Caenorhabditis elegans: one gene and its partner. The protein of the gene in region 2 purifies or fractionates together with the protein of the main gene of each other region. This does not show direct contact. Each region holds a gene or a part of one and is shown on either strand. Other genes may lie near its edges. The genes, in order: ttr-48 and idhg-1.

Region 1 (4,385 bases), on a different chromosome or scaffold from region 2:
GTCTGTTAGTCCTGTCTTCCCGCATTTTTCATCTGTAAGTCAATTGAATTTTACTATTTTACTCATTATGTATTTCAGATGAGTGCGCTGGAGCAAATTCAAGAAGCCGCTAGGTTAGCTTCTTGTCAAGCCAGCAATGATGACAGTGAGTTGAAAATTTCATCAAGCTCACATATAAAATTAATTGTCTACAGGTGACGGAACATCCGGAAGCCCAGATGCACCATCCAATGACGGCTGCTCGGATCTATAAACTCCAGTTCACTTGTTCACTCTCAAGTTCACTCTCTGTCCACATTTTCCTTATTCATTACCTCAACATTTTGCGTCATTACGGTAATCAAGAGCGTTCAAAGCAGTTCAAGCAGTTTTTTTTTCAAATCTCTGCATTCTTTCTTCAAAATTCAAGCATAACATTTTCGATTGCACACATAATTTCTCATTTTCCCCCCATTCCGGTTGACTGTTCTATTGCCCGGTTTCTCGTCTGATAGCAGTATGTTGCATTTACAACTCTTTTATTCGCTTTTCAAATACCATATGCTCAGGTTTTTTGTCCCGCTGTTTCTTTTTTCTTTCTGATTCGCACGTTTGATTTCTCGGATCCCGTAGAACTTTCTAGCCTAATAAAATTATTTTTTTTTGATGTGCTCCACACAATTGAGCAGCTTCTCAGATGCGGTTAGTAACTCGATTTTCATGGTCTTTTCTGCCATTCACCCTCACCTAATTTCACAGCTTCTCTCGTTTTGACTAGTCATCAAAACGAATACACACCATTCTTTTTGTACGCTGAAAGTTCATGTTTTTCTCAGAGTGTTTTTGCCTTTTTGTGTATCTATGATAATTGTACGTTCCGGTGAGATTTCTAGGTTGTTCATCTCATTCTTTCCCGATAATTGCTTGAAACCCACCGACACACTCCGTTTGAATATTCACCTCCCCATTCTTCCTGGTGCATAGTTACGATATATTCAATTGGAACTGCTGGTTTCGATTTTTAAAACCCGGAGCTTTTCTTCTGATAGGGTCAATTTTTGTATGTAACTTTTCGAGAACAGTTTTATTTTTTCGCATAATTTTTTGATAAATATTGAACACTTTCAACATTTTCCAGAAAAATTTAATTTCAGATACAGGTATTTTTTGTGAATTTTCATCAAAATTTAAGTGGAGTCACCACAAGTTAGGTGTGGTATGGTTTTGTAAAAATTTGTTTTAAAAATAATTAAAAGTGTTGTATGTTGTATAAATGTTGTTTTTTTTTTGGAAGTCGCCTATCAAAAAATTGTTTGAATAGGTTGGCTATGACATTTGGTCATTTTTGCATCATAGCTGGCACCATGGTTTTTTAAAAATGTCGCAGCGTCTAGAAACTAATTTTTGTCGTCCAATTTTGGTTACAACATTTTGGGTATAACTCTGCGACATTGACAAGTCGGTCAAATTTCAAATTATTCTAATTTTAGGCTATTTTTTGAGCTGTAATAACTATTTTTAATAGTTTTCAAGAAGTTTCATTATGAAATTCGGTGTTTTCAGACAATTTTAAATATAATAAACAAATAAAAGAAATTCGACTACACCACCTTTAAAACTCCAAATCACGTCAATAGATGTATTTGTTCTTATTTGTGTTGAACCATATGTTGAATAATCATCAACTGATCATATAATCAATATAAATTGTTTATTTTTCTTTTGAATGAAGAGCCAAAGTGTCCTTATTGTCAATAGCTTCGCGATAAGAGTGATAAGCTAGAATAGTGTTGACCAGTGTTTGGTCTATCAAAACGGTTTAGAAACTTGATAATGAAACTGTACACTGCGACCGTTTCATTTTGATTCTTCCCAAGTGTTTTGGGAAGCGTCGAACATTTTGATCAATATCAATTGGTGTCTACGTGCATCTCTATTGAGAGGTCAGGTGTTCACTGAGCATTTTGTTTTCCGGTATCTTCTTCAATATCCTTTCTATTGATTCATGAATCGCTGAGAAATACGTTTAATTATCACATTTCAGCATGATTTTCATATTTATCGCCGCTCTTCTTTTACCAATTTCATACGTTTCTGCTGGAGCGGATCTTGATGTCCCAACTAACATTGCCAACAGGTAAATTTAATTTTCAATTTTGTAAAAATCAATTTATATTTTTAGAACCATGGCAGTCAAAGGACAACTGTATTGTGGAAAGAAGCCTTTCGAAGGAGCCAAGATCCGACTTTTCAGAACATTTCAACCAAATGCAGCAGATGGTAAGTAAGGTATCAAGTTTTGAGCAAGACCATAATCATGTCAGATCTCGCCGAGCTACTCGACGTAAAGAACACATACATTACGGGAATGTTCCAAGTTGAAGGAGGTACCGCGAGGTTTGTTATTTTTTGCTGAGAAAAGGTTATTTAAAAAGTCAAAAGTTTTCTATTCATGTCTTGCTTATCAATAGTGCCAATAGTGCGTGCATTCGAAATGAAGTGAAGTATGTCAGAATTATCTTGTGCTGAAAACATTATGAGAAGGAAGTTTTACACATTGTTGTAGTGGCATAAATTGGAGAACAGTTTGAAAATACAAGTTCTGAAAGGTGGAGCACGGTCAATGAAAAATAATGGAAACGCATTCATATGACCAAAAACTGACCGAATATCTAAATGAAGTTTTTCAAAAGTTTTGGAATATTTTTTCTAAATAAGCGTAAACTGAGGTTTTACAACTTTTTGACTCGAAATAAATAATTTTCCGAAGTTATTAAAAAACATTTTTTAGCTCCAGAACAATAATGTTTAATCGTTTTCACACTCGCTATTTTTCACCATTACATCGACTGGTTTTAGTATCTTATATAGAAAAAGCAATTCAGACGAACAATTCTAACAATTACAAACTTTTATTTCACTGAATGAATATATTCTTACTCATTTTTTGGGGTCCTTAGAATCTTATCAAAAGTTAAGAGGTTTTTGGGTTTAGAAAAACATTCGGGAAGCTCCTCGATACTTCAAATCTCTACACAAAATATAGAAATTGTGATTCTCATCAAAATTGGAGAGATTTAAGGAAACCAAAGATTTTCAGCAATTTTCGGGACCTCGAAAATAGTGCTAAGTTCAACTGCAACATTTCAGAAATAGCTGATAGCAATTGCCTTGTTTTAAAACCTGGAATTAAGATTAAAATTTTGTTTTTATAAGTTTAACTTTCAGATTCCCACGTACCAAAACCGATATCCAGCCATATGTCACAATTCATCACAACTGCGGAATGGACAATAAGCAAACATCCAATGTAAGTCAAAGACCAGCACTTACGAAACAAAAATCAATTATTTTTATAGTACGGCTACAAACGAATTGGTGTCCGTCTTCCAGAAGATTACGTAACACTCGGAATCAAAGCAAGAAAGGTGTATGACTTTGGAATTCTCAATTTGGAGTTGGAGTTTCCACAAGAGACCCATGATTTGAAGTTCAAATTCACCGATTAAATTTAACTTTTCTTTCACAATTTTTTTCTTCATTATATTTCACATCAAATATTTTGAATTTTATTTAGAAGTTGTTCCCCATGAATGCAATCAGTAAAATTTCTCTTCTCATTTCAAAGCGCTCGCACTCATTTTGTTTTTGTTGTTTGGCACTGGCTGTTGTTCTGTTTTGGAAAACGGATACATCACGCATATCAGATCAGAAAATATGGAGGAAAAGGACGTGGTGTTGAGAAAAATAAAACCACCCAGGTGAGAAAGAGAAGAATCTCACGAAACTTTTCTCATTTGATCTTTGTTCACCGGAGGACAAGCCTTGAAACTGTTCATTTTATGAGAGCTGTTATTGCACGAACCGAAAGAGGGCGGTTTTTGAAAACTGACAATATGGACAGTAAAACTTTTCAGTATTGTTGTGTTCTGTGTTCCGCCGTTTTCGACAACAATTTCCAGTAAGTTTCAATGTTTTGCCGAATTTTCTCTGTATGGAATTTTTATGATACATAATGAATTTTCAAAATGGGGTTGAGCCATTTTTTTAGATAAATAACTGAAACTTTCATACTGTCCAAAAAATTATTATTTTTTGTACACTGAAAAATTTATGCAATACAGTTAGTTTGTGATGCACGCATAGTGGCTTAGAAAGCACACGCGAGCTCAATGATCAATTTTTTGCTAGTCGAAGTGTGTCCCTATGCTGCGAGGTTTATAAGGATATTGAAAACTAACTGACATATCTAGAAAAAACGCCAATTTACAACTCCTTCACAAGATTGTGAAGCAAAATGTTCTAATTTCTTTAAATTTCCCACTCTGAACGCTTCTCAAAAGATAAATCGAATTTTTTGTACTTTGCGAAGCTGTGGCAACTTGCTGGCTTTGCTTTAAAAAACC
Region 2 (5,642 bases):
TTTTTAAAAGAAATTTTCATATTTTTCTAATGAAATTCAATATATTTGTTTGTAAATAAAGTAATAAAGTTTCGATCTTTTCTTTTAAAAAATTTCCGATCGCTAAAAAAATAAAACTGACCAAAATTTTAAAGTTTGTTTCAAAAAGAAACTGAAATTTTTGGTTTTTTTAAACAGAATAATTTACGACGACCCTTCCGTATAGAAAAACTAATGTTTTATTTAAAATTAAAATTTACTGTTTCAGAAGATAAAAAATCGTCACTGACTGGCAAAAATGCATCATTTGTGAATACATCCTTCCAACCGGAAGATCATGATGATCCAACCGACTTGTAAACTGGAATTTTTCATATTTCTTTTTATATATTACACAATTTGTTCTTTTTAGTGATTTGCAATTCACCCTCCCCCCAAAGTTGTCGTTGTGTCAAATTTAGAATCACTTATTTTCTCAATTATTTATTTTCTTTTGGTATTTTCCCGCCAATGTACTTATGATATGTATAATATGGAATATGCTTTCCTTGTAATTTTCATATTTTGGTATCCACCCACGCATGTAGTTGTGATAGACTCAATCTCCCAGTTTCATATGCATATTTTCTGTAATTTATTAATTCTTTTTTCAACTTTTTTTCTGCAAGTTTTAGTACAATTTTTCTGACCCGAAATAAATTATTTCGAATTGAAATGTTCGATCGACATTTGATTTTGAAAAAGAACTTACAACGCATGTTGCTTTCACCAGACCATCCGGTATATTGAACTAAAATTTGTATTAGTTCAATATTTCCTAGATAGTCTGGTGAAATAAAGAATAGAATAGTTGTGGCAAAAAATGAATAATATTAAAGTGAGCTAGGGAGCATTCAAAAAGATACAGTAGCTACAGTAGTAAACTCCGCCTTTTTTCAAGCAGCTCTCAAGTATTGACTAATTAGGTTAAGAGCATATTGGTGGGGGGAGTACTTAACTTTGTGACAGTAACCTAATATTAACATTATTAACAGAGTATCGAATTTCACTAAACCAATTTTATAATATTGTACTATACTGGAAATGAGAAAAATTCAAACAATCAGAAAAAATTAAAATCCAAAGAAAATTGTGGGTACAGAGATGAGGAAGAAAGGAACAAGATAAGAGACATCAGGCGGAAACGTTCAGTCAACGGGGTCAAACAGAGAAAGAGCACAATGAGTAACGCATTATGCTACGAATCATGGATTAATCGAAAAAAAAACAGAGGAAAAGAACGTAAGGGTAAAGCTAGCCACTATGTGGGATGTTTCAAACTTTCGATTATCAGGTAGAAATTAGACACGGTAGTTGCGGTCCTCGAGCTCCTTCTCGATGAAGTCGAGTACTGATTGAACGAGTTCCGATGACTGAAAATTTATTAAATTAAAGTTTTGTAGTGCATTTTTAAAAAGTACTTATAAAGTTAATGTTCTAAAAAGTGAAGTCGTTTTGAAGTTTTGCTTAAAATCATCGAAAATGGACCATAATAACTGTAAAAAAATTTATAACATTTTTTCTATGATTTTTCCAATTTTGCAAGAATAAAAAATGTGAGTTCCGACATTTTTGCCTTTTCCGGCAATTTTTCAAATATTTTTTCCGCAAAGAAAACTTCATAAACCGAAATAAATTCGAAAACATTTCAAAAATTAGCCTAAAACTCGATAATTCATAAATTTCTTTGCGGAAAATGTATGTGTGTTTTATACCAAATACTAAAAAAACAAAATTAAGAGTAATCACTCAGTACAGCCGAAAAACGCAAAAAAACTATTCTACTTATTCGCGCGGAAATTCAGAAACACTTATCTTATTTTTTAATTTTGCAAAATATTAGAAAAATTGTATAAATTTTTAAATTACGGTCCATTTATGGATATCATCTTGAGCAAAATTCCAAAACGACTCTACTCTACTTTTAAATAAAGAAAAGGTAAGAATTTAATATATACAACTTTAGAAAATTAATGAAATTCTTACCTTAGAAGTTCCTCCAATATCAGCGGTGTGAATTCTCTTATCAACAAGCGTACGGAACAATGAATCGGAGATCATATCGGCGTGTGATTGAAGTCCGAGGAAACGAAGCATATCAACGGCGGCACGGATGAACGCAGTTGGATTGGCAAGATCTTTTCCAGCAAGAGTGGTTCCGGTGTTACGGGTTCCCTGAAAAAAACAAATGTTATTTAATATTTTCATCAATATGCTAACTGTTTCAAAGACGGCGTAATCTTCTCCAATGTTCATTCCAGAAACAAGTCCTGGACCTCCGACGAGTCCACAAGCAATGTTTGAAATGATGTTTCCATAGAGATTTGGCATTAACATAACATCGAATTGTTGTGGGCGTGAAACCTGGAAATAAATAAGGATTTTTAATTATTCGTCTTTTTTCAGAACATTTATTTTGATGAATAAATAAACAACCCACCAACTGCATGGAAGCATTATCGACAATCATAGCATTGAATTCAATATCTGGATACTCGGCCTTGGCGATATCAGTGGCTACTTTAAGGAAAAGACCGTCTCCCAACTTTTGAATGTTGGCCTTGTGAACAGCAGTAACCTTCTTTCTTCCATATTTCTTTGCGAATTGGAATGCAAAACGAGTAATTTGTTCCGATTTTTCGCGAGTAACAACCTTTAAATTTGAAATTAGGACTAAATCTCAGTTGATAATCCCAACCTTCAAAGATTCGACAACACGAGGATGTGGAGCATTAACGGCTTCGTGCTCATTTCCAGAGTACTCGCCTTCAGTATTCTCACGGATGATAACCATATCGATTCCCTAAAGCTTTTCATTTGAAATTTGTACAAATCGATTTAAAAAAATTCTTACAGTGTGTCTGCTTGGAACAGTTGGAATAGTGGAACAGTGAAGAACGTTTGCGTAAAGATTGAGTTGACGACGAAGTTCCAAGTTTCGGGAAACGAAGCTTGGGTTATCAAACTTAGTTTCAATGTTTCCCTTCAAAAAAAAAAAATTAAATTTGATTTTAATCTTTCAACAAAAATACCTTCAAAGCAACACCATTTCTCTTGATAGCAGTGATAGCCTCAGCAAGATCTTCAGATGCATCTTCCTTTGAGGTCAAATTAACCACTTCGAAATCTACTGGAGCTTGAACTGCTGAAAGGATTCTCTCGACATGATGGAGCATTTCTGGTCCAATTCCATCTCCTGGCAAGACTGTGACGTTGTGACGTCCTCCATAACGAGCCAGCTTAGTCTGAAAATTGATATTAATAGCAGATAAAAATGAATTACTTACTGTGTTAGTTTGAAGAACTGGAGAACGGAATCGGAGCATATCGGAGTTCGGTGAAGTCGCGACGAACGCCTTTTGCACGACATTCTTCGAAGAGCGAAGTGTATGACCGAGGACGTTGCTCGACATCTTGTTTTTACCTGAAATGTTAAAAAAATGGAATTTACTAGAAAAACAACAGTTTAAAAATGTACTTTTAAAAGTGCATGTCAGAATAGTAGCCAATTTTTTAAATAGAAGGGTATAGTATATTTCAAAACTTTAACAAAAAACATTAAATCTTCCCGATATCATCATTATCATTATGAAAACTCAGATTTATCACTAAACAGATAATTTTCAGAAATTATATGCACAAAAAAAGAGGGCGGAACGAGCCGACCGATTGATTTGCAAGCGCCGCACGTGTTTCTCGCAATTCCGCCGCGCGACATTTTCATTTTCGTCTTTTATGTTTATTTTGTCCATTTTCGTTCATTTCTATCTATTTCAAATATTTTTGCTTTTTCTCTCTATTTGAGGGTTCATTGGTTTGTGTTTACTTCTAGTCTAGATTGCAATTCAAGCCAACTGCCGGGGAAATCCGGGAATTCGAACAGCAGTTGGCGCTTGATTGATTTTCGCCGCCGAATTGTTGTTGCTTCGTTGTTTTGTTTTGTTGGTTGTCTCAAGCGCTTATCAGGTGATCTATTAGTGATTTTTGTGTAGAAATAAATGTCTTAGGATTGTTCTTTAAAGTTTGTTTCATTGAAAACTCTTTGAAATAGTTGTTTCATGTAGAACCTGGCACGCCTTTTTCCAAAAATAGCGTCTATTTCTTATACAGAAATCGGTATCCAAGAAATAGTTTTGGCTGAAGTTACAAAGTCTTTATTATTTTATTAACTACTATTTAAAACGTTAACTGTTACTTGATTATCTTTTTATTTGTTCGTTTTGCTGATTTACATGCTCCCGGACTGTTTCGAGAATGTTTCGCGCTATGAAACTGTTATTTTCCCCCATAGATAATTATTTTGTAGGTTGATGTAAATAATGCTTCGTCGATATTCACATTTTTACTCGATTCGATATTCTTCCACATTATTATCTACTTTAGACGGACTCACAAATCGAACAAGTGGAGATAAGTTACTCGTAAGTTGAACTATATTTTCCAATTATTTGAAAAAATTTTATTTTTCAGACTTATAGCGAGAAGTTTTCCAAATTATATGCCAATTCCACGCCAGAAACTCGAAAATCGATTTTCGTAGATCTCGTCACAAACTATGGTGTAAACAAAGAAGCCCTAAATCATGCGATTTCTCTATATTCTAAGGTTGGTTATTATCATTGACATCGTATGACCAAAAATTGTAAAGTTCAGAATGATCAAATGTACCCGGAAGTAAGAACATCAGCAACAGCTTCTTATGTGAATTTGATAAAATCAATTGGAAATTTACCGGGAGGAGTTATGCAAGTCTGTGAAATGAGGGCTAATATTTTGGTATTAAAATTAAAATAAAATTAGCATCGAATATATAATTATTTTCAGGCACTTCTAAAACGGGAAACTGACAAAACTACAACATCATATCTCCGTCACATTGAACTGGCCACTAGAGAAGTATTAACTTCATGGTTTTCTTTAGGAAATCTAAAATTGGAACGACTTACGTGGTCATCTCCTGGAGATATTCTACAGAAAGTCGCCGAATATGAGGCAGTTCATCCAGTTAGAGGACTTTCAGATTTCAGAAAACGTCTTGGTCCGTTGAGACGGTAATTATGAAATAAAAATAAAAAACTAAAATTTCATTTTCTCAGATGTTTCTATTTTTCCCACGAAGCTCTTCCCCGGAACCCACTTGTGATGGTTCACGTGGCATTAGTTGATGAGATAGCGGATAGTGTACAAGAAATCACAAAAAGAGGAGCACCGACTGGAAAAGAAGAAGATCAAACAACTGCAATTTATTATTCAATCACTTCTACACAGCCTGGTAAAATTTAAGAAATGTATTCATTACATGTTTTATTCGTTTTCAGGTCTTTCTGGTATTGATCTCGGAAATATGCTCATCAAGAAAGTCGCCACTAAACTTCAAAAAGATGTTCCATCAGTCACAACTCATTCAACATTATCTCCGATTCCTGGTTTCCGACCTTGGCTTATCAGAAATCTGAAAGGGAATTCAGAATATCGTAAGCTGTACATTTTTAGACAATTGAGTTACTTTCAATGTTTTTTCAGCTTCAATTATGAATGAAAAGGTTGTCAATTGGATTTCTGATATATCTGAAAGGGAAATGAACGAAGTAGAAGCAACCGAAACTCTACTGAAAGTCATAAGC

What was found.
Region 1: the proteins of idhg-1 (region 2) and ttr-48 fractionate together in Caenorhabditis elegans (co-fractionation; one large-scale study listed by BioGRID). This does not show direct contact.

Annotation. Positions count from the first base shown.
Region 1 is NC_003284.9:3,840,087-3,844,471, reverse strand, and holds ttr-48 (Transthyretin-like family protein), read left to right. Parts: upstream 1-2,023; 5' UTR 2,024-2,024; coding exon 2,025-2,116; intron 2,117-2,161; coding exon 2,162-2,259; intron 2,260-2,303; coding exon 2,304-2,376; intron 2,377-3,207; coding exon 3,208-3,289; intron 3,290-3,338; coding exon 3,339-3,488; 3' UTR 3,489-3,603; downstream 3,604-4,385. Other genes in the region: Homeobox protein ceh-18, read left to right, coding at 1-34, 79-145, 195-253.
Region 2 is NC_003281.10:4,566,813-4,572,454, reverse strand, and holds idhg-1 (Isocitrate dehydrogenase [NAD] subunit, mitochondrial), read right to left. Parts: upstream 3,443-5,642; 5' UTR 3,432-3,442; coding exon 3,306-3,431; intron 3,264-3,305; coding exon 3,051-3,263; intron 3,002-3,050; coding exon 2,873-3,001; intron 2,822-2,872; coding exon 2,717-2,821; intron 2,672-2,716; coding exon 2,459-2,671; intron 2,383-2,458; coding exon 2,239-2,382; intron 2,194-2,238; coding exon 2,005-2,193; intron 1,392-2,004; coding exon 1,320-1,391; 3' UTR 590-1,319; downstream 1-589. Other genes in the region: Serine/threonine-protein kinase sel-5, read left to right, coding at 248-339; mlcd-1 (Malonyl-CoA decarboxylase, mitochondrial), read left to right, coding at 4,338-4,439, 4,489-4,623, 4,672-4,794, 4,843-5,069, 5,115-5,290, 5,337-5,492, 5,542-5,642.